3 linked regions of the Drosophila melanogaster genome follow. The protein of the gene in region 2 interacts with the protein of the main gene of each other region in a pairwise test. Each region holds a gene or a part of one and is shown on either strand. Other genes may lie near its edges.

Evidence for each region. Proteins that work in one complex are often made in the same cells at the same time.
Region 1: the proteins of CG13367 (region 2) and ACOX1 interact in a two-hybrid assay, tested with the Drosophila melanogaster proteins (one large-scale study listed by BioGRID).
Region 3: the proteins of CG13367 (region 2) and fd59A interact in a two-hybrid assay, tested with the Drosophila melanogaster proteins (one large-scale study listed by BioGRID).

The regions. Positions count from the first base shown.
Region 1 is NT_033778.4:17,757,204-17,765,041, forward strand, and holds ACOX1 (acyl-CoA oxidase 1), read left to right. Parts: upstream 1-3,736; 5' UTR 3,737-4,062; coding exon 4,063-4,186; intron 4,187-4,925; coding exon 4,926-5,085; intron 5,086-5,139; coding exon 5,140-5,432; intron 5,433-5,489; coding exon 5,490-5,785; intron 5,786-5,844; coding exon 5,845-6,461; intron 6,462-6,526; coding exon 6,527-6,632; intron 6,633-6,695; coding exon 6,696-6,848; intron 6,849-6,907; coding exon 6,908-7,168; 3' UTR 7,169-7,338; downstream 7,339-7,838. Other genes in the region: HLH54F, read left to right, coding at 372-447, 884-1,233, 2,833-3,135; OstDelta (oligosaccharide transferase delta subunit), read right to left, coding at 7,478-7,838. UniProt on the Drosophila melanogaster protein: Catalyzes the desaturation of acyl-CoAs to 2-trans-enoyl-CoAs. First enzyme of the fatty acid beta-oxidation pathway.
Region 2 is NC_004354.4:640,967-648,338, forward strand, and holds CG13367 (uncharacterized protein), read left to right. Parts: upstream 1-3,794; 5' UTR 3,795-3,929; coding exon 3,930-4,947; intron 4,948-5,023; coding exon 5,024-5,232; 3' UTR 5,233-5,420; downstream 5,421-7,372. Other genes in the region: su(sable) (suppressor of sable), read left to right, coding at 1-51, 112-236, 331-2,375; Roc1a (regulator of cullins 1a), read left to right, coding at 6,482-6,671, 6,737-6,957.
Region 3 is NT_033778.4:22,864,534-22,871,206, forward strand, and holds fd59A (forkhead domain 59A), read left to right. Parts: upstream 1-3,625; 5' UTR 3,626-3,968; coding exon 3,969-4,321; intron 4,322-4,641; coding exon 4,642-5,659; 3' UTR 5,660-6,173; downstream 6,174-6,673. UniProt on the Drosophila melanogaster protein: Involved in development during embryogenesis.

The sequences.
Region 1 (7,838 bases), on a different chromosome or scaffold from region 2:
CTGTGTGGCCAATGTGGTGGCAGCCAGAAGGCAAACAACCGAGAAAGAGACCGCCGATCGCACCATGTGTCCGGATTCCTCCGCCAATTGGGACTGTTTGCGGAGCAGGCACGCCCACCAGAGGTGCCAGAAATAGACGGAATCTGGAGAGCTGCAAACTGCGGAGCAGAATGCTCAAAAAGGAGGATCTCCCCGTAACCCGTGACAGAAGTGCTCTACGTGCCACGCAGATCGGACGTATTCGACTCACAGATTGGTTTCGGTTCGGTGCGTTTCGATTTTAAGTGAGAAAACTGAGTGATTGGAATTTTATATCCAATTTGAAAATATTCGAAGTGATTCTTGTGATACCACCAACTTGTTTTTGAACAATGCCACGCAAGAAGCGCAGTTCCAGCCCCACGGAGTTCTTTGATGACGACTTCGATGAGGATGCCAGTTCTCAAAGTGAGTTCGATTTCAATTTATAGGTGATTTTGTACTTATATTAAAAAGATGTATTATAAACGCTTAAAAACGTTGACAATGTAAATATGTTTAGCTAGTTTTGTAAATTTATTATTTACTTTAAAGTAAAATTCAATTTCCTTAGAATTTTTTAAATCGAACTTTAGAATTTACCTTAAAAGGAATGTTAATTTAAAATGCGTTAAGCTCTAAATGAAAATATAATAATAATGATAAAAATTATAATAACAGAAAGCACAATAGATATAAATTGAGTTTAAAATTCATACTCCATATGCTTTTTGAACTTCATACTTTGCGAAGATATCTATAATGTAACTTAAAACTTTTGTGGATACCAATAAAACCTTTTGTTTCTAATTAATCTCTTGTTATTGGAGCTCCTTAAGATGTATCTACATTTCTGATTTTCCAGGCTCCCAACCGCCGGTGCAGCGAAATGCGGCAAATGCCCGGGAGCGGATGCGTATGCGGGTTTTATCCAGCGCCTACGGACGTTTGAAGACCAAGCTGCCCAACATTCCGCCGGACACGAAGCTCTCCAAGTTGGACACGTTGCGTTTGGCCACGCTCTACATCAAGCAGCTAATTACGGCTGTGGAGACAGGCAGCCACTCGCAGAACCACCCGCACAACCACAACCAGCACCACAGCCTCAACCACAGTCACTCGAGTACCACCAGTTCCGAAGGCCTGGACACAAGTCACATGGCAGATTCGTCCGGTGGAGGCAATTATAATTTCCACAACAACGGACACGGCATGGTAAGTGTCATGCAATTGCGATCCCCCTGCCCGAATATAAGTGATGTCACTGCCACCACTTAACGATGCACTGCACCCGCGGCTCGGGGGAACGGGAACGCATTAATGAGCCGGCCACTTCAGGTGGATCTCGTCAGTTAATGACAGGTGTCGCAGGGGATGCCCAGTGATATGCCCAAGATCAATGTTTATTCATGGATTTCAGTCTAATTGAGAAGTAATGTTCAGCCGATCGGGATTCCCATAAGTTTATGTCTTTTTATGGAAAGTTTGGTATTGGGAATGAAAATTTTTCTTTTATGCGTTTTCTTTGAAAAGCCATTAAGGAAATAAAGTAGGTAGATATTTGTAAATTTTGCTAGTTGAAATTAGCCTTTCGTAGAATTTTAACTTAGAGATCGTGGAAAGTTACACGGAAACCCAGGCTTCAGTGTTTAAAATTTAAAAAATTGATACTATTACAATTTAAACGTATACGCAATCTATTATTCTCATTTTTTTTTTAACAAGCAACTTAAGTATTTAGTAATACTACTCAACTTATAGGGGTAATTCAACGCAATTTTAGCGAAATATAGATCAAAAATCCAAAGGAATGTGGTGCAACATCTGCTTGGTGATGCGGACGCGATGCGGCGACAAGTATTTCCACCTTTTCTAGATGTGGAGGTGAACCACAAACGTAACCACATCCACATCCCATGACCGGAGTCAGCCATTCAGCCGGGCCCCCCACTAGAACACCGAAATCACATTTTGTGATTTCAGACTGCCTTGCTTTCCTGTAATCCGATACTTTTGTGAATTTCGAAAATATTAAATATGAGTGACAGGCTGTTGGTGGAGCGGGCAGGGAACGGAGATGGTAACGCAGACCTGCGGATCTGGATGGGGGGCACTAGTTAGTCTTTGCTTTTATTTTTTATTTTTAAAGATGCTCTTGATGCTTTGAAGCGACACAGTGAATGACATGCGAGGGAAAGTGTCATCCTCAGTAGTTTTCCCACTCGGATTATTGTAATTAAAATTTGTCTAACCGTGTTTATCCATCAGCCATTCCCGCTGGAGTTTACACAATCTATCACTCAAGATTCATGGCGTGCACAACTTATCTAAATAGATGCAATTGTTTACACACCGAATGCGTGAAAAATTCAGCAAATACGGCTCCGTCTTGTGCCCATATGGTGGCAAATCAGATCGGATCGGAGAGTCCCGACCCTATCCGAATTTATACCATCCACGCGCCCAAGATGATCTGTTGGGAACAACCCATTGGTTCGCTATTTGCTCGCTAGCCCTAGCATCCCTATATCCCATTTCCAATCCCTCATTGTATGGCATACAAATGAGTGTCTCTTGTCCGCAAGTGTTTGGCTGTTTATGTTTTTATAGATCCGTTAATGAGGCTGTTATTGTAGATCTAGACGTGGAGGCGGGGGTGGGCACTAAAAACAATCAAAGTTGCGTAAACAAACAATGGCGCTGTCTCGGGATGGGTTGTCGTCATATTGTTCCATATATAGCCCCTGCGGTTTCCACAACTCCTATGATTTATGCCTGTTTTATCCACACATTCCACATTATACTGTCTTGCAGAGCTGGCCCTTTGAGTTCCACCAGAGTAGCCGGAGTTTGGCATTTGCCCCATCATCATCAACCACCTCATCCGCCCGTATGGATTGGCAAACCCTGCATACGCAATCTTATCCGAAGACTACGCGAGGCGAAACCCATGTTTCGGCGGATCTAAGTTACCATCAGTTGCCGGAATCTCACAGTCACTGGTATCCGGCGGAAGTGCATCAAATGGAGCCAGCGGCCAGCTGTTCCTATGACTCTGGAATGGGGCAGCATCAGCGGGGCATAGCTATAGCCACTAGCCATGCCCATGGCATTTAAGCGGATATTATAAATAATGTTCTGACCTAAGCCAAATGAATTTACCACCTAGTAAGTGTATTAAATCGTGATTTAATTTTACGTGTTTCCGTATGTGCAAGCCTGAACCTATGCTATAAGGCCAAAGATTGGTGTTACCTCATGATCATTTAGCTAGCAAATATATCTATGTTTTTAATAAAATTGGAATTTTTGAATTTTTTTGAATTGGCGCCAAGATTATGGTGACTGTATCCCTGGAGTTGTCGAGTGCTGCCGTACTTGTTTGTATTTTGCAGCCCTGTTCAACAGCTGATTTCGTCACAATACAAACAAAGAGCTGCTAAAAACAAAATTAATCTATTAATTAAGGCGGAATTCAAATACCCTACTTTTTTTAAAACGGCTAATTTGAGACATTTTAAAGATGTTATTTATGCAGAAAGATGTAGTGAATTTGCATTATTCACTTGCAAACAAATTATACGAACAAAGAAGCTTATGAAAGCAATCTTATTTAAATTAGAAACAAACTGAAAGAAAACGCCCAAGTACTTTTTACATGCAGTGTATTTATTTTGTGTATTTACTCATAAATGTAGCCCAACAACAATGGCGTGAGAATAATGGTTGTGCTACAGACTATTTCAACACAAAAGCGAACTTATTACATGTGTATTTTCGCGGTTAAAGTTCACGTCGTTCGAGAGCTGGCATCGATGATTAGATTCGGAATAGCTGGATCAGATCAGCAGTCCATAATCTCAATCTCCTCCACTGGATTTCCTCCACCAGCACTTGAGTGACCGACTGACTGACCACTGAGCGCAATTCGCCTTTCCAGCAACAATCAGTCAGTACGCGATATTCAACGAAGACGGACGCTTTGCGGTGGCTCGTTAATCCATAACCTGTTTACGTGACTTGAATACTGTGCCGCATAGCAAAATGCCAGCCAAACCAGTGAATCCCGATCTCCAGAAGGAACGCAGCACGGCCACCTTCAATCCCCGGGAGTTCTCCGTTCTGTGGGCCGGCGGCGAGGAGCGATTCAAGGAGAAGAAGGCCCTGGGTGAGTTAGCTTAGAAGGGAAAAACACCGGATTTCAAGCTTCTCCGGTGACCCCGACAGACCTACATGTACATTCACATTAACCGGTCGCTCAGAGCTTTATCTGAGCTTGGCGCAATCGCGTTTCCCAACAGTGGATGCAAGAAATTGTGCCAAAAGCATGACTTGGCAATTAAGCTAGGCTTTAACGCATTTATAGCTAATCTGTAGGGTACAAACTCTGATGCTAGCCATGTCAGCCACTGATAAATTATCCAAAACATCCTGTCAACTTCTTTGTTTTGATACGCTTCTTCTCCGTCCATTCATTCATGCGATTTGTTGATTTTGCTGCACGCCGTGGCCCAAAGTTCATTAATTATGTATTCCGCATAAACAAGCCGCTACTAGTTAATCAGCACCTATTAGCCAGCTCATAAGTTATTAATCTTTGAACTTCGCGCGAATCGCGATCAATCCGACTACTTGTGTACTTTGAATGTTTGCAGCTACCCACCATCTATTTCCAGGTCCACTTGAAATTAGTTTAGCTGATAGGTTTATCTGACAGATTTGCACGGTCGCTCAGGGCATCATAAATGGACAATGCCCAGTAACTCCCGCGAATTAACGAAGAATACTTTCCACTCATGATTACGCTGCAAAATTCAACAATGCTTATCTAAATGACACCTCCTAAAATATTAAATCCCTTTCCTTATGGCTTCATTTACATTAAATTTCGTTTATGATTTTTCCAGAGAAATTGTTTTTGGAGGATCCAGCCCTTCAGGACGACTTGCCCATTTCCTATTTGTCACACAAGGAGCTCTATGAGCACAGCTTGCGCAAAGCCTGCATCATAGGAGAGAAGATCCGCAAGCTACGTGCTGATGGCGAGGATGGAGTGGATACTTACAAGTAAAGAAATCCTTATATTTAATGTACTTCAGGTTGTAATTTGTGTGCTTATAGTGCTCTGCTTGGTGGATCCTTGGGATCGGCTATTCTAAAGGAGGGCAATCCGCTTGCGCTGCACTACGTGATGTTCGTGCCCACCATCATGGGCCAGGGAACGATGGATCAGCAGGTGGAATGGCTGAGCAAGGCCTGGGACTGTGAAATCATTGGCACCTATGCCCAAACGGAACTGGGACACGGAACCTTCCTGCGCGGTCTGGAGACCAGGGCTGACTACGATGCCAGCACCCAGGAGTTTGTTATAAACACTCCATCACTCAGTGCATACAAGTGGTGGCCCGGTGGATGTGAGTTTTCTTGAACACTTAATATTTTGAAATTGTTATAAAATCTGGGACTTGCAGTGGGACACACTGCTAACCATGCGGTTGTGGTGGCACAACTCTACACCAAGGGCGAGTTCCGTGGTCTGGCTCCTTTTATTGTCCAATTGAGGGATTCCGATACTCACCGTCCCATGCCCGGCATCGACATTGGAGATATTGGTACCAAGCTGGGCATGAAGGGTGTCAACAATGGCTATTTGGGACTGAAGAACGTACGGGTGCCTTTAAACAACATGCTGATGAAGAACCAGCAAGTGCTGCCCGATGGCACATATGTGGCGCCGAAGAATAGCGTGCTTACCTACGGAACTATGGTACTATTACACATATTCACTATATCTTCACAGAGATTTTAACCATTTTTTCATTCAAGATGTTTGTGCGTTGTGCTCTTATCCGTGATACCGCTCAGAGCCTGGCAAAGGCATCCACTATTGCCACTAGGTATTCAGCTGTTCGCCGACAGAGTCCCATTGATCCCAATCAACCGGAGCCCCAAATCATGGACCATACCACGCAGCAGTTGAAGTTGTTCCCCCAGATAGCTAAAGCCATCGTTTTCAAAACGACGGGTGATGGCATCTGGAATATGTACAACGTGATATCTGGCGAGATTGAGCAGGGTAACTTGGATCGCCTGCCCGAAATGCATGCATTGTCCTGCTGCCTTAAGGCCATCTGTAGTGCCGATGCCGCCGCCGGCGTGGAAACGTGTCGTCTGTCATGTGGCGGACATGGCTACATGGACTGCTCCAACTTCCCCACGATATACGGCATGACCACGGCCGTTTGCACCTATGAGGGCGAGAACACAGTGATGCTGCTGCAGACTGCTCGCTATTTGGTGAAGGTTTATGGGCAGGCCTTGAATGGAGAGAAGCTGGTGCCAACGGTTTCGTACATCAGTGATGCAATAAACCAAACCAAGTTTGTTAACTTTGACGGATCATTGAGGTCTATTGTCAAGGCTTTCCAATTCGTTGCCGCCAAGTAAGTATTTACTAAAGAAAAAAAGGTAGAAGTACCAAGTATTTAAATTCATATTTTTATATCAGCAAAACCCGAATTGCCTATGAGCAGATTGAACTGCGCCGCAAGCAAGGTTATGGTACCGAGGTGGCAGCTAATCTATGTGGCACCTTCCTAACAGCAGCTGCAGATGTAAGTCGTAATGAAATATCTGTTATTCACTCAGTATCCTATATAATTTTGTACCACTTGTAGCTTCATGGACGCGCCTTCCTAGCGCAGACTGCCTATACGGAGCTTTTGGCCTTGTCGCGCGAGGTGTCCCCAGAACTAGCTGAAGTCCTAAAGGTGGTGCTGGAGCTGTATCTGGTAGACGCCTGCCTCAACCGCATTGGCGACTTCTTGCGGGTACGATTTTAAATTGATATTAGTTAAGAATATTTAATGTTATATGTAACTTTCAACAGTTCATTGATCTCACTGATCAAGATGTCACGAAACTGGAGGTTCGCCTGGAGAACTGCTTAAAACGATTCCGGCCGAATGCCGTCAGCTTGGTGGACAGCTTTGATCTTCACGATCGCGTGCTAGATTCCGCATTGGGTGCCTATGATGGAAATGTTTACGAACACATCTTCGAGTCTACGAAGAAGAACCCGTTGAACAAGGAGCCAGTCAACGGAGCATTCCACAAGTACTTGAAGCCATTCATGAAGGCTCACCTCTAGATTCATATCCTATTGCTCTGGAAGATTTTCACAAGTGTTATTATTGTAAATATACATTTGTTTCCATTGTTTTTGTATTATACAACTGTCTGCTTAGCAAATGGTCTTTAAGACAATTATGATGTCAGGGCTTGTGCAGTTGAAACTAGGCTGTAAAATTATACACAAATAAAATATTCAACTATATTTAAAGGCAGTATTTAGTGTGTGTTTGGGCTTAACTAAATCGCTTTATTAAAGTTTGTTTTCTGATGGTGTTGCAAGATAGAGAGTAGCTCACTTATTGACTTCGTACAATGATGAACGCACTTACGACGCACTTGCCTTCGAGTTACGTTGTGCGTAAAGACGTCTCAGTAATCGGTTGCCAGCCAGGAATGTGAATACTGCGATGGGAATCAGCAGGCGCAGTGTCTGGAACATGTTAAGCTGCAGCCAGAACACGAAGAACAGCACCAGAATGCCACCGAAACCCAGATGAAACCCGATCGTACTCGGTGCCAGCGTCAGGTTAGATACATTGATGCCCAGTTTTCCCCAAAAAACGAAAAGCAGCACAAGCGGGGTTATGCACAGTCCGGTGAAGATATCAGAAACAATGCGGGGCGGGCGCTTATCGGGCACTCGGAACTGATGGATGATTTCGGGCAGGGGACCAGAAGTGTTCTTA
Region 2 (7,372 bases):
GCGCAAAGCCGAGGACGCCAAGCCGCAAACCCAAGCTGAATTGGAAAGCAGGTGAGCTAATCAATGCAAAACAAATTACAATTTCCTTATTTTAATATATATGTTCACTAGCACTCCTCCTTCAAAGCGGGAAACGGAGGCCAACAATAGTAACTCGAAGAGCAACGGACTCATCATGGTGGACTACACGCAGTACCTCAAGGATGCACATGTCAGCTTTTCGGGTAACGATCCGCGTGAGTAGATGGCACCATTTGAACTTAATCTATTTCTTTTCATTCTCTTCACGGCGTTATGAATAATTTTATTAACTTGCGAATTTCATTCCAGTGGACGACGATCGGGATGACGACGAACAACTGATCATAGACGATGGCAACGATTCCACCGCCGAAGAGGACCAGCAACCTAAGAAAGCCAAGGCACCGCCAGCCGCCACCCATGAATCAAGCACAGAGGAGGCACCCTTGCCTTCTGTTTTCGACTTGCCGAGCTTCATGAACAACATGCTGGGTCAGGGATCCTCAGCGAGGCAGTTGCTGCCCGCAAGTGCCACTTCGCCCAATCAGGAGAATGCGCATTTGCCTGGAGGAGATCAATCGACACATAAATCCGCGCCCATCGGCGGAGGCACCTCAACCAACGTGCTTGGCCGGATTCTGTTCGGCGACAAACAATCTGACCCCGAGGCTAGAGCAGCTTTCTATCGCGACATAATACGCAATCCCTTCAAGGCTCACAGTGGCGATGGCGACGTGGACTCCAGCAATGAGAACTCAAATTCCAATTCGCATTCCCTGACGCCAACTCCCACGCCAGAGCCGGGATCCCAATCCCCCAAGCCGGAGGACCACGATCAGGATATGCCGGAATTGCCTGTCATTGCACCAGCGTTGCCGCCGACAACTCCTTCGCTCTATGTACGTCGTTCCATGTATGACTTCGATCCCGTCAAAGAGCAAGAGCACGGGCGACAGGAGCTTCTTACGGAGGAGAAGGAACAGTACCAGCGTGATACCGACATGCGACTGCCGTTCGAGCCGATGAAACACTATATGCCTGCCACCGAGATCGACGCGGCGATCTTCTCGCACACTCCGATACGCTGGCAGCTGCATGAAGTAACCATAGAGGAGAGCAGCTATGCTCAGATTAGGGCCAGTGCTCTGCACAAGGAGCAGCGGGAGCTACGCGATCCTCGAATGCGTCGGATTCTCGGCCTTCCGGAAACGCCTGATAACAGTGGACCCTTGGGCTCCGTGCCCATTATGGGCCCAAGCTCCTTTTCGGTCGACAACATTGCGCGTTGCGCTACGACCATCGCTTCCCCAGATTTGGAGACCGCCGTTCGTGATTCCACCCCCAGTTCACCGCCCCCGTCCGTGGTAAACCTACCGTCAATGAGTGTGCCACCGCCGTCGATGAGGGTACCACCTCCGAACATACAGGTGGAAAAGCCAACTGTGCGGACAGATCCACGTCGCGATCCCAGGAGAGCCGTTCTGCAGGCTCCAACTAAAGGTGCTAGTACGGCAAACACCACAGCACCCAATGCCTCTGGTGGCAGCAAGCAAATCTCGGAAATCCGAAGCCTGCTGCAGGTTTCCAACTGGTACAACAATCTCGGCACCAACAATAAGATTATGGTGAACCAACAGCTCGCCCTGGTCTTTACCGAGCTCAAGAAGTTCCATCAGCTGCCGAATGATGCTCCGAAAATTTTCGATGTCAGCTTTATAGTGAACAACACAACGTTGCAGCAGATCTTTGCCAAGCTCTTTATCTTTGTAGATGACAATGGCGAGGTGGTGCAGATTCCCGAGGAGCCCAACGGTAATGGTGCTGCTCTTGGTGGCGGCGGAGATTCTGGAGGCGGAGTAGGAGGAGGAGGAGGAGGAGGAGGAGTAGTGCTTCCCAATCTATCGCAACCCCCACCAAATCTGAGCCAAATGTTAAGGCTACCGCCACCGAACATACGAATGCTTCGCATGTCGGGAATGATGATGCAAATGGGCAACGTGGGACCCCCTTTCAATCAGCCACCGCCACGCGGAGGATTGATGGGAATGCCTCCGAATGGCAATGGATTAAACCAGGGCGTTGGCAATCTGGGAGGACTTGGCCAGTTGGGGATAAACCAAGGAGGAGGACCTGTGCCCAATGGCAATCCCTTCAACCCATTTGGTGGGAACAATGGGGGAGGAGCTGGCGTCATGAACAACATGAATTCAATGGGCAACATGGGCATGGGCTTCAATAACTTCAACAATAATGGCGGCAGAGGAGGGCACTTTCCGGGCGGAGGATCAGGCGGAAACGGCAACGGAAACAATCGCAACCAGCGAGGCGGCAACCACCGAAACCGCAACATTTAAAGGCCCATGCGTTGCGAAAACACAAACGCAAAAGGAGCCCTTTTGCCCCAATGATCTTAAAGCGATGCTATGCCACATGACCCTTTCCCCCAACCATACCATACGTCGTGGAAAACTCGTGGTTTTCCGCGCACCTTCCCCGAAAATCCAGGCATGACTCCTTGTAAATGTATTTTATTCCCGAATCCCCATTATTGTCACTATTTTTTTCGCTAGGTGTAAGGATCTTATTAGCTATACGAGTAGTAAAGAGTAAATAACAAAACAATCCGGAGTAAGAACGAAAAGTGAAGCAGAATGGTATGCGCAGCCCTTTTTAACAAACTTTTTTAAATTATATAGGATAATTTGTTCAATAGCGCGAGTACTACATTGATTAACTAGACGTACGAACTCAAAATAAATGACATCTTTTAAGTAATGTGCCATGCTTAGGTTGCTGGGCCGTCCCGGAGGAGCAGAAAGAAATGAATAGCTCTTGAAAGCGTGCGAAACTACACCTAAACTCTTTAGAAAGCTTTTGCGTACTTATCGATGCTAAATTCTGAATTGGCTTCTCGACCATTTTTAATTTAGTTCCTACAAGGTATATGTTTACGTTTACGCTTAAATTATGACATCTTCTGCGAATTCGAACTAAAAATAGCAGTATAGCGCAATTCTACCTTATATACACACTTGCCATCGAATCTAATGTACTAATAATATAAACGGTCGAAGAAATACCGGTGGAGATTCCATATTCAATTTCTCGCCAGTGGCGTTTTGTTAGATTTCCCTATCAATTTCGTTGGTAAAAGAACGTTGACCGTTGAACGTTTTTGAATTCCTAAAAAAACCAGGGCTGCATTAGTCAGAGCACAGTTGGCTACCTGGCAGCCCCCGCCGATCCGGTCTGGCAACACTGGTTTAACAAAAACATACTACACAAATTACGTTGTTTTGCATAGCAGAACAAGCACATTGAAGCATTTATTGTTTTAAAAATCACTACGACCTGAATAAGGGCATGGATTAGCCATGTCAACCGACGCCGACCTAAACAAGTGCGTCAGTCCCATGTACCAGGTGTCAACCGCAGGCGACGGCCTCCAAGCAGAAGCCGCTGGAGATCTGGCGTTGGCCTCCATTGTCGCAGCTCCCTCCTATTCCTGCGAGCCACAGAAGGACTCCACCGACATGGACGTGGACATGGAGATAGACAACGATCTTACCACTAGCGAACGGATGCCAACGGTGGCCGAACGTTCAACGGTCAACGTTCTTTTACCAACGAAATTGATAGGGAAATCTAACAAAACGCCACTGGCGAGAAATTGAATATGGAATCTCCACCGGTATTTCTTCTTTCTATTTTGAATTCCTAAAAAAACCAGGGCTGCATTAGTCAGAGCACAGTTGGCTACCTGGCAGCCCCCGCCGATCCGGTCTGGCAACACTGGTTTAACAAAAACATACTACACAAATTACGTTGTTTTGCATAGCAGAACAAGCACATTGAAGCATTTATTGTTTTAAAAATCACTACGACCTGAATAAGGGCATGGATTAGCCATGTCAACCGACGCCGACCTAAACAAGTGCGTCAGTCCCATGTACCAGGTGTCAACCGCAGGCGACGGCCTCCAAGCAGAAGCCGCTGGAGATCTGGCGTTGGCCTCCATTGTCGCAGCTCCCTCCTATTCCTGCGAGCCACAGAAGGACTCCACCGACATGGACGTGGACATGGAGATAGACAACGATCTTACCACTAGCGAACGGATGCCAACGGTGGCCGAGCTGGAGCAGCCGATGGATTCCAAAACGAAACGGGAGAAAAAAGAGGAGGAGGAGCAGAAGGACGCGCAGGACCAGAAGCCACTGGAGGACGGCTCCGTGCAACCGCCCAGCAATCCGACAGCCATCAAAATCGAGGAGGAGGACAAGCCAGTGAAGCCGCCGCCGCAGCCGCAGGCTCAGGAGGAAGTCGCGCCCAGTTCGCCGGAGACAGCAGCGAATCCCAGCCAGAGAACTGCGGGCAAGATCACCCGTAGCAGTCTAAATGGCACAGCCAACCAGGCGCCCACCCGCTCCCCAACGATAATAAAGCGTCTGCGAAAGAGCACGCGCTTCAAGGCCAAGCAAACGGGCAAGGGCACTCCCGGAAGCGGCAGTAGCCAGTCAAATGGCCACAATAGCGGGGCGAATGGTTCCACCGGCAGCTCCGTGCACCTCGCGGGCGCTGGCGCCCATCCCAGTAATACCAACAAGCATGGGAAGTCCGGTCCAGCGGGCACAGGCGGGGCCACTGGAGCCCGTAATCGCCGCGCTCTCTTCAAGAAACCAGCACAGAAAACTCCCAAGGTGCAGGCGAGCACCAGGTTCGTGAGAAGCCTTTTCCACAAGGGCAGCTATATACAAATCGGGGATATCGTCAGCATTGTGGACAGCGAGCAGAATCTGTACTACGCCCAGATACGCGGTCTGCTTGTGGACGCCTATTGCGAGAAGTCCGCCTTCCTCACCTGGCTGATTCCCACGCAGGACAGTCCGGATCCCCAGGAGGGCTTCGATCCCCCTACCTACCTAATCGGTATGTCAGTCCTGTCCTCCTGCCTGCTACCCAAAGTTTTTTAAATTGTATTTTTGCTTAACTCCCGTGCCTGCAGGACCCGATGAGGAGCTGTCCCGGAAGCTCTGCTACCTAGAGTTCGTGATGCATGCTCCCAGCAACTACTACTTCGACCGGAGCACCCCGTTTCCCCTGCCGGACGTGGATGAGTACACTGCCCAGAGATCGGGCGGCTACATCTGGACGCGGCTGCCGATAGTCAAGCGGGAAAAGGGCAGTGGCCACAAAGCGGGCGGTGCCTCCTAGCAGAAGAGGTGGCTCAAGGGCAGGATGGCCGGAGCCCTGAATTTGAAAAATCTAATTTATTGCAACTTTTACTCTTCGTAAACGGGCTACTTGCCGAACAGAAAATAATTCAAAAAGTACTTGATGTACTGTAGTACCAACTGAACTCAATCAGCAATTAATGAATAAAATACAATTTTGTAATTATGGATAACGAAGCGTTTCCGACCTATAAAGTATACATGTATAAACATATGTTCTTGATCAGGATCAATAGCCGAGTCGAACTGGCCATGTCCGTCTGACCGTATGAACGCCTCAATCTCAGGAACTATAAAACAGACAGTCGCAGCGCAAGTTTGTTGACCCATGTGGCCCAGTTTAGTGTCGTCCAACGCTACGCGCGCACTTTTGAAAAATGTTTTGATATTTTTAAAATTTTGTTATAAGTCCTGTTTGAATTGCAAAAAACTAATTCCCACGCCCACAAACCGCCCAAAACTGCCACGCATATACTTTTGAAAAATGTTTTGATTTTTCTTCGATTTTACTTTTTTGCAATTTGATCGGTATACCATAAACAAAACATTAAAAATTTTGATTAAGATACCAAAAGGTTATCGACACGAATCGGAATCGTTATTGAATTAGACGAGAAAATAGTGGTGGAGAAACATCGATGTTTCCGATTTGGCGAAAAATATCAAAGTCTTAAACATATTCTTTAAACATGTTGTTCTAAACATCGATGTTTTAAATAAAAACAAAAAAATTATCTGTTTAATTTAAATATTATTTTCTTTTTTAATATTGACTAAATAAAAAAGGCAGTATTTTAACTAAACATAAACTTATTGTCGTCTACGTCTTCATCCCTCCTTATTCAGGAGTTAAAAACTTAAATTTCAGATATTTATCCACGTCTTTCAGGACATCAGCCAACACCACCAGCAAGTCACACTAAATTTGCGATATGTTATTAATAATTCTATTAAAAAATATGGAACTTACAATTTATACTTACAATATATACACATATCTTCTCCGATGTGCAGTAAATACCATCGATACCATCGACGCCATCGATGTTGGCATCGATGTTTCGCCACCTTTACGAGAAAAAGCGGCGGTCACACTGCTTGAGCCTCACTGCGAGTGGTTTTCTATTAAAACGAAAAGGATAGGGACAGAAAAGCCAAAACTACGTTAGTTGTGAAAATTGCATTTGTGTTGCGAGAGTTTTGTCAGGATAAATAGGTGTATTTCCACCATGGAAGTCGACGAGGATGGATACGAGGTTCCCTCCAGCAGCAGCAAGGGCGATAAGAAGCGCTTTGAGGTGAAGAAGGTAAGTGGTCAGCAAAAAAGCAGGGTCATTGTCAATGAATGTACTGATGGTAACACTTCATCCTTTCCGCTTCGCCGAAAACAGTGGAACGCCGTGGCTCTGTGGGCCTGGGGTAAGTAGTAATGCGAATTGTAGTGCTCCGAGTCGGGGGATTAACCGCATTCCATTTCGATGCAGACATCGTGGTGGACAACTGCGCCATCTGCCGCAACCACATCATGGACTTGTGCATCGAGTGTCAGGCGAACCAGGCGTCCGCCACTAGCGAGGAGTGCACCGTGGCCTGGGGCGTCTGCAACCACGCCTTCCATTTCCACTGCATCTCTCGCTGGCTAAAGACGCGCCAGGTATGCCCACTGGACAACCGCGAGTGGGATTTCCAGAAGTACGGCCACTAAAATCTACAAAACCCCCAAGACCCACCAGATGGAGGGAGCAGCACTTCCCGCAAGCTAGATGATGGAGGCCTGCTTCATCTGGACATTTGAATACCTTTTTAGATCTTAAGCTAGTGGGGCGATTCGAGTGAACTGGTAGCCTTTAGGAGCACAGTTACCGATTTCCGAGACTCCCCGGGAAGCGCACCTTTTTGTAACGCGTTAAATAAAAGCTGTAGAAGATGGAGAAGACTAGACGGATGTTTCTACCTTTCACCCTTTGGAGTCTATATTCACTGTGACGATGGCATCTTACCGCGAAATCCACTAGCTAGTCGTGCCTAAATTTTCAGAGTATATAACTCATGACTGGCAAAAAATATGATTGGGTCATTGGGTTCCATAAATGTAGCTCTGCTTAGTTATCCTTGGATGG
Region 3 (6,673 bases), on a different chromosome or scaffold from region 2:
AACAGAATTTGCGGCTGCAGTTGTGCAATTTGCTCGCTGCCTGCTGTGATTTTTCCCATTGTCCTGGGCAATCCTGGGGTGGCTTGCCCGCTGATTCTCGACGTCCTTGTCCATCAAATTGAGCGTCACTTAAGTATTCAAGTGCCTGTATGTGTATCTCCCACGACCAGAGCCCCAGCCTGACTTGTTTTCTGCGCCTTCAGATACTTCAAAGATTTAATAATCACATAAGAAGTGAAGCTATTAAACCTGCCATCCCTCGCCATTCTCGAACTTCTTACGCGGCCTCAAGTGTTTGCCTTTGCGATCCAGCAGGTGCCACCGACCCTCAGATGCCGTCCACCGATGCAGGATGCGACAGGATGCGCCATCTCAAGCGCAAATTAGAGGGGATCCCCTTCGTAAGATGTACACTTGTCGAAGGACATAACCACTTTCTTAAATTAGTAGTTGTTGGAAATGTCGTACAGGTGCTGAAATATTTCGATATATACAGATAATGATAATATTAATAAACAAAATAATAATTAAATAATAATTAGATGCTGCCATAGCCATTTTGATTTACTTGAATATCAAATGAAGATATCTTATGACCTCTTTTTGTTCCCAGTGCATAATGAAGGCGGACCATCGTCGGTGGCTAGCAACTGTGTCCTTTGTTTGAGCCAAAAGTGGCGATTGTCCTTGCCGAATCCTTGCAGTCAAAGCAATTCAAGTGTCAAATCTTTTATTTGCCTTTTGCAGATTTCGCAATAAAGATTTGTATTGTCAAAGTCTGGGTTCAGCCAAGCCAGAGACCAATCCCGAATCGGTATCCGCAGTCCTTACCCCTCCTGCCCACTGAGCGCTCCGTTTCATCCGCTTGGCATATCCTTTGCCGGCTTGCTTGTGTGCAATAAATTTGCTGACAAAAGAGGGATTATTGCTGGATCATGCCGCTGTTGCTGCAGCGCGGGATGAGGACGCAGGATATTCATGTAGATATATATAGCCCGGAGATGGAGCTGGCGGTGAGGCTGAGCAGGATGTGCTCCTGGTGGCTGGTTCCTGTCAGCGTGCATTCCTCGGCGTTATTGTTTGGCCATAAGTTAATTGTTCCCCTGCGAAAGCTTTAATGCACCGCATCCTTACGCTCAACTGGCCGCCCGAGTCCTTCGTCCTTCATCCGGACTCCTGCCGTGCTAAGGCGGCGATTAACCGTAGTCTGACAGGGAACATGGATACGGCTGTGACCACGGATTGGCCCAGGATAGTGGCTGTTGGAATCGTTTAATTGCCATGGAAACTATTGAGCAGGCGGATAAGTAATGAAAAGTGGATTGAAAGGGCAAATATTTTCGATATACTAGATGCAACTCGCGGGGGATAAAGTGGGCTAATGTTTTTGAGGATGACTGGTAGCTATAGATAGATTATCCTCTATGCATGGTGAGCTATATTGTTGTTAACCATTCTACCGATACAGTTACACATATATTAATGCTGACTCTAGTCGGAATTAATTACCAATTGTTGTCATTACAGTGTACACATGCAATTAATACTCAATAGTTTGAAACACATATTCCTTTTCGATTTCCAGCATTTTCCAGTAATTGGGTACGTTTTTGCTTGATTTACCTGTTTATAAAGTTCCGAAATAGTTTAAGCGTTAGCTTCGAAAAACTTGATTACATTCTGTGTCCAACCAATTTCATTTGGCTGCCATGAAATGTTCTGTTTGCTCATAAAAAGACAAGGATAAGCCTCAATAAATTTTCCGCCTCGAAATTGGGGAGCAGGCAGAGCAGAAACGACCCCATGTAAGTATTGTATATACACCCTTCTATTTATGCCCCCTGATAATACCAACACTACTAAGCGGGATAAAGATACATACCGATGGCCGATGCCACGCCCCTAAAAATCTGGCCAAAAAATCATTGATTTGTAAGTGTAACAATGGGTAAAAGGTGGGCGGGCGTGGGGGAATTGGCAAATGGGAATTTTGGGGGTGGCAAAGCTAAAATAGAATAATGAAAACGATGCCAAGAGTGAAAGAAGCGACATCAATATGGTTCTGAATTCGAAGATGGCGGCCCTTATTGTATTCGTGTCTGTTTCCATGCATCTGTGTGTGTGAGTGAGTGTTTGGTTGTGTGTGGGTAACTTCCGCAAAACTGGAAAACTAATTTGAACAAAGTACAACAAATAAAAGTGACTACTGAATGTTTAATTTGAAAAGGGAAGGCTCCAAACACTGAATGGCGAACAACAACAATGGCTACAACAACAATGTCTAACAACTGGAGAACAAAAACAGCGAAAATGAAAAAGAGAAATAGTACAAAACTCACTTGGATACAAGTACAAATGCAGCAAACACATGTACGTCCAACCCCCTCCCGTCCCACCCACTCTACTGCTCTCTCTCTCTCACTCTAGTAGCCCCCATTGTGCTCGGAGGATGTTGGTGAAAATGGTGCATTTGATTCCATCTCACTTCCACACCCAAATAAAATATACAGAAAAAAAACCAATATTATCTATATTAGATGTATTGTATATTGTATGTATTGTTTTAAAATTATATTTTATTTCGGTTTTTTCGCATTGCTAAAATGACATAACTGTTCTATGCATTTTTTTTTTTTTTAAATGTATTTAATAATAATACATTGTATTATATACATATTTCAGTTAATCGTTCTTAGAATAACCAACAAAATATATCCTATGAAAATAAATACAATTCTACTTATCTAACTGCAAAGAAAAGTCCCTATAACTTCGTTACTTAACTTAAGTAAGATTTGTGGAATTTGGACTTTACATAATTAAACACATAATTAGATTCTTTTCTTTTTTTTCTTTCTGTGCATAGGGACAGAGGGCTGGGAATGAGATTGCGAGCCCGAGAGAAACCAAGAAACGTCGACATACGGTTAGAAAAACATTCGCACATAAAAATGCCAACATTTGAAGCATAACATTTGGGGCAGAGGAGCAGAGTGGTGGTTGGCAGGGCGAGTGCGAGGACGAGGGAGGGCCGCAGGGGAAAAGGACGCCTGCCTCCATGTGGCTGACATAATGAAACATTATTAAGAGCCACGACGTCAAAGCGGCAAAAGGTATCTAAATTTGCGCAAAATGTTTATCCCCCCCACCGCCGCGTTCGTTGGCTTCTGCAGTCGCTGCCAATTTGCCGCCGCTTGGAGAGAGGAAAACACAAATATCGCATTTACAGCCAGGGCTCTCCACCATTTTGTGAGGACTTGCAGCGAGTGGGAGAGGGATGGCACGAGCTAGTTCGCATAGATTGGTTCGCAGGATATCAACCCATCCCCCGCTAGAAAGAGAGGCTTGGCCGGGCTCTCTTGCTCTCTCTCCCTCTGCTGCGATGCTGTCGGGGCGCAGCCAGGATGCTGCCAGGATGCCGTCAGGATGCTCTGCCCGCGCCAACGGCGACGTCGGCAGTAGAATCACAGTTATTCGAGATACGAAAACACAGCAACGGCGACACAAAAGCTCAGGGAAACGTCAGCGGCAGCGGCAATGGCAGCGGTTTTTCATAAATAAATGTTTGAGTTATGTAGAAAAACATTTTGGGCGAGAAGATTTTCGTTTTCGTTGCGATTCAGTTAACATTTGGCCAGCGGATTCCGCCTTCAACGGACGCGACGACGGACTAGGCGCTAGCCAACTTTCCACTTTCCACACCACTGCTGGCCATATGTACAGTTTATCCTAGCAGCTAAACCGGAAACGACGGTAACAGCGAACGGTTAACGGAAGCGGAAATAGAAAAGAAAATATCAAATTCCAAGTTGAATCGAAAAGCATATGCAAATGCCAAGTGAAGCAAGTGAAACGCCAAAACGAACACAGTTCCTGAGCAAAATAGTTAAATAACAGTGTTGCGTCCTCTAAATTTAGTGAGTCCAATTCGCGGACTCAAATAGACTACAGTGTATACCCGCTAAGACATGCACACCAGCACGGATCCCATGCACACATTGCACGACAGCGTCTCCCTCTCGCCGCCGCTCATCAAAAGCTCCAGAGGCGGCTCCTCCATCGGCAACGGAATCGGATGCAGTGCGTCCTCGCGCACTGCCGCCGCAGATGCCATGTCCATGGGCTGCGACGACAGCGACATCGAGCCGTCGTCCATGGGCGGAAGTGGTGCCGCCGGCGGCAACGGAGACGGCTCGGGATCTTCGGGTGGTCCCCTGGTAAAGCCACCATACTCCTACATAGCTCTAATCACCATGGCCATTCTTCAGTCACCGCACAAGAAGCTCACGCTCAGCGGGATCTGCGATTTCATCATGTCGCGGTGAGTTTGCCAGCAAAGTTAATATCCTTAAATGAAGAAGCAATAGTTTGATTTTTTCCAAGTTATCTTAAAACATCAGAAAAAGAGAATAAAAGTAGTAGTTTGTAAAGACGATAAAAATAAATAAATCCTATAAAATTTCAATTGAAAACATAGAAAAGAAGAGACATTCAGTGCTTTAATCGATTTCAAAAATTATAAATTTTAAAATGTGATATTTTATTTACTGATTGCAATGTAAGTGATCTAGATAAACAACCAAATTCTTTAAAAAAAATTCCTCGAAAAAATGTTAAATAACTTGTGCATTTTACTTGTAGCTTTCCATACTACAAGGACAAATTCCCCGCCTGGCAGAACTCCATCCGGCACAATCTCAGCCTGAACGACTGCTTCATAAAGGTGCCCCGCGAGCCGGGAAATCCCGGAAAGGGCAACTTCTGGACGCTGGACCCGCTGGCGGAGGACATGTTCGACAACGGCAGTTTCCTGCGCCGGCGGAAGCGCTACAAACGGGCGCCCACCATGCAACGCTTCTCGTTTCCGGCGGTCTTTGGCACGCTGTCTCCATTTTGGATACGCAAGCCCGTGCCCCTCGTGCCAGTGCATTTCAACGTGCCCAACTTCAATGGGAGCAGGGAGTTCGACGTGGTCCACAATCCGGCGGATGTCTTTGACTCAGCGCTGCGAGCGGACAAGAAGTTTAACTTCTTTGCGAATGCCGAAGCATCCTTCTACCAGGGAAGTCAGTCGGGGGACAAGTTCGACCGGCTGCCCTTCATGAATCGCGGTCGAGGAGCGGATGTCCTGGATGCACTACCGCACAGCAGTGGCTCCGGCGGAGGAGTGGGCGGGGGATCCGAGAGCAGCCGTGGCTCCAAGTACAAAAGCCCATACGCCTTCGATGTGGCGACTGTGGCCAGTGCTGCGGGCATTCCCGGCCACAGGGATTACGCAGAACGACTGTCCGCCGGCGGTGGTTACATGGATCTCAATGTGTACAATGACGATGCGGACACAGAGGCCGATGCGGAAGCCGAGGGAGATGACGACTCATGCGAGGACAAGATCGACGTGGAGAGCGGCAATGAGCAGGAGGACTCACATATCTCGGACTCGGTGGACAGCGCCTGTACAAATCGCCTGGATGCGCCGCCGGAAGCGTTGATCTTTGAGGCTTCTGCCGAGGCGTCCGATTCAAGTCCAAGGAGACGCTTCGATAGCGAGCCCCTGGTTCTGCGGACCAGCAAACAGAGCAGCGCCAAGGACTTTCGCATCGAGACGCTGATTGGCCACCACCTGCATCGCGGTGGCAGCCAGGAGGAGACCAGCGACTAGGCGGGATTCCCACTCGCTTGAACCAATTGGCTTGTGTACAGTCCATTGAACGGTGATTTCAGTTTCGATCTAAGCACGTTTTAACAGCCCACTAACACCACCACCAGCAATCCCCAGGAATCCAATCCGAGCAGCAAGTAGTGATCAGTAGGTGTATCCGTAGGATGTAGGAGCCAGCACACGAGTTTTTAAATGCGACCAAATCGAAGTCAACGCTATAGTTGCCAGTCCACTTACGTACTAAACATATATCTGCGCGTAATATCTATGTAAATCTGAAGCATCGCACGTCTATAGTATACTTTTAACACGAATTCTTGGGGTCTGGAGTCGGGATTTCAGGTTCTAGACCTATATCTACCATGCAAGTACTAATCATGTGTATGTGTGTGCGTGTGCGTCTGCGTGTAACTGTAACACATCCAAGCAAGAGGAACACTATTAACTATAAATTAGACTAAGATTTTTGCTGATGTTATTGAAAATTGAATAAACAACAACATAATAATAGTTTACACGGATACATGTTTGACTGGTAGGTACCGATATACGTGTTGTTACTACAGCTACTACAGCATGTTACTAATATGTTTGTAGTATACTAAATATTAATTTTTAATCCTATTGATACCTGTAATATTGTATTATTTTTATAATTATATTATTATATGTGGCCACTCTCTTCCTTGTAATAATATCCTTAAAGGGATCCCTCTTTTCGACGTTTTGTTACCTTTTGTTTGCAATAAAACACCCCGAGTTATTTGAATTTACCGCCCAGCAAACCTGTCCAGGTGTGGCACCCCTGCCTGGAAATCAGTTCAGCTTTAGCGCCTGCGCAGTGACCATCGCTCAGCTGATTTGGCGCAGGACGTAGTTGTGCCGCCATAGAACGCCGTGGAGTTCGGCGCTACCAAACGAAAGCTCCGCTCTCCCACGAGCGTCCCGTTGGCTTCCAGTGTTAAAACATGAAAAGCTGCGCCTGGCAGCGGGACAACAGTGTGCCGCCGAAGA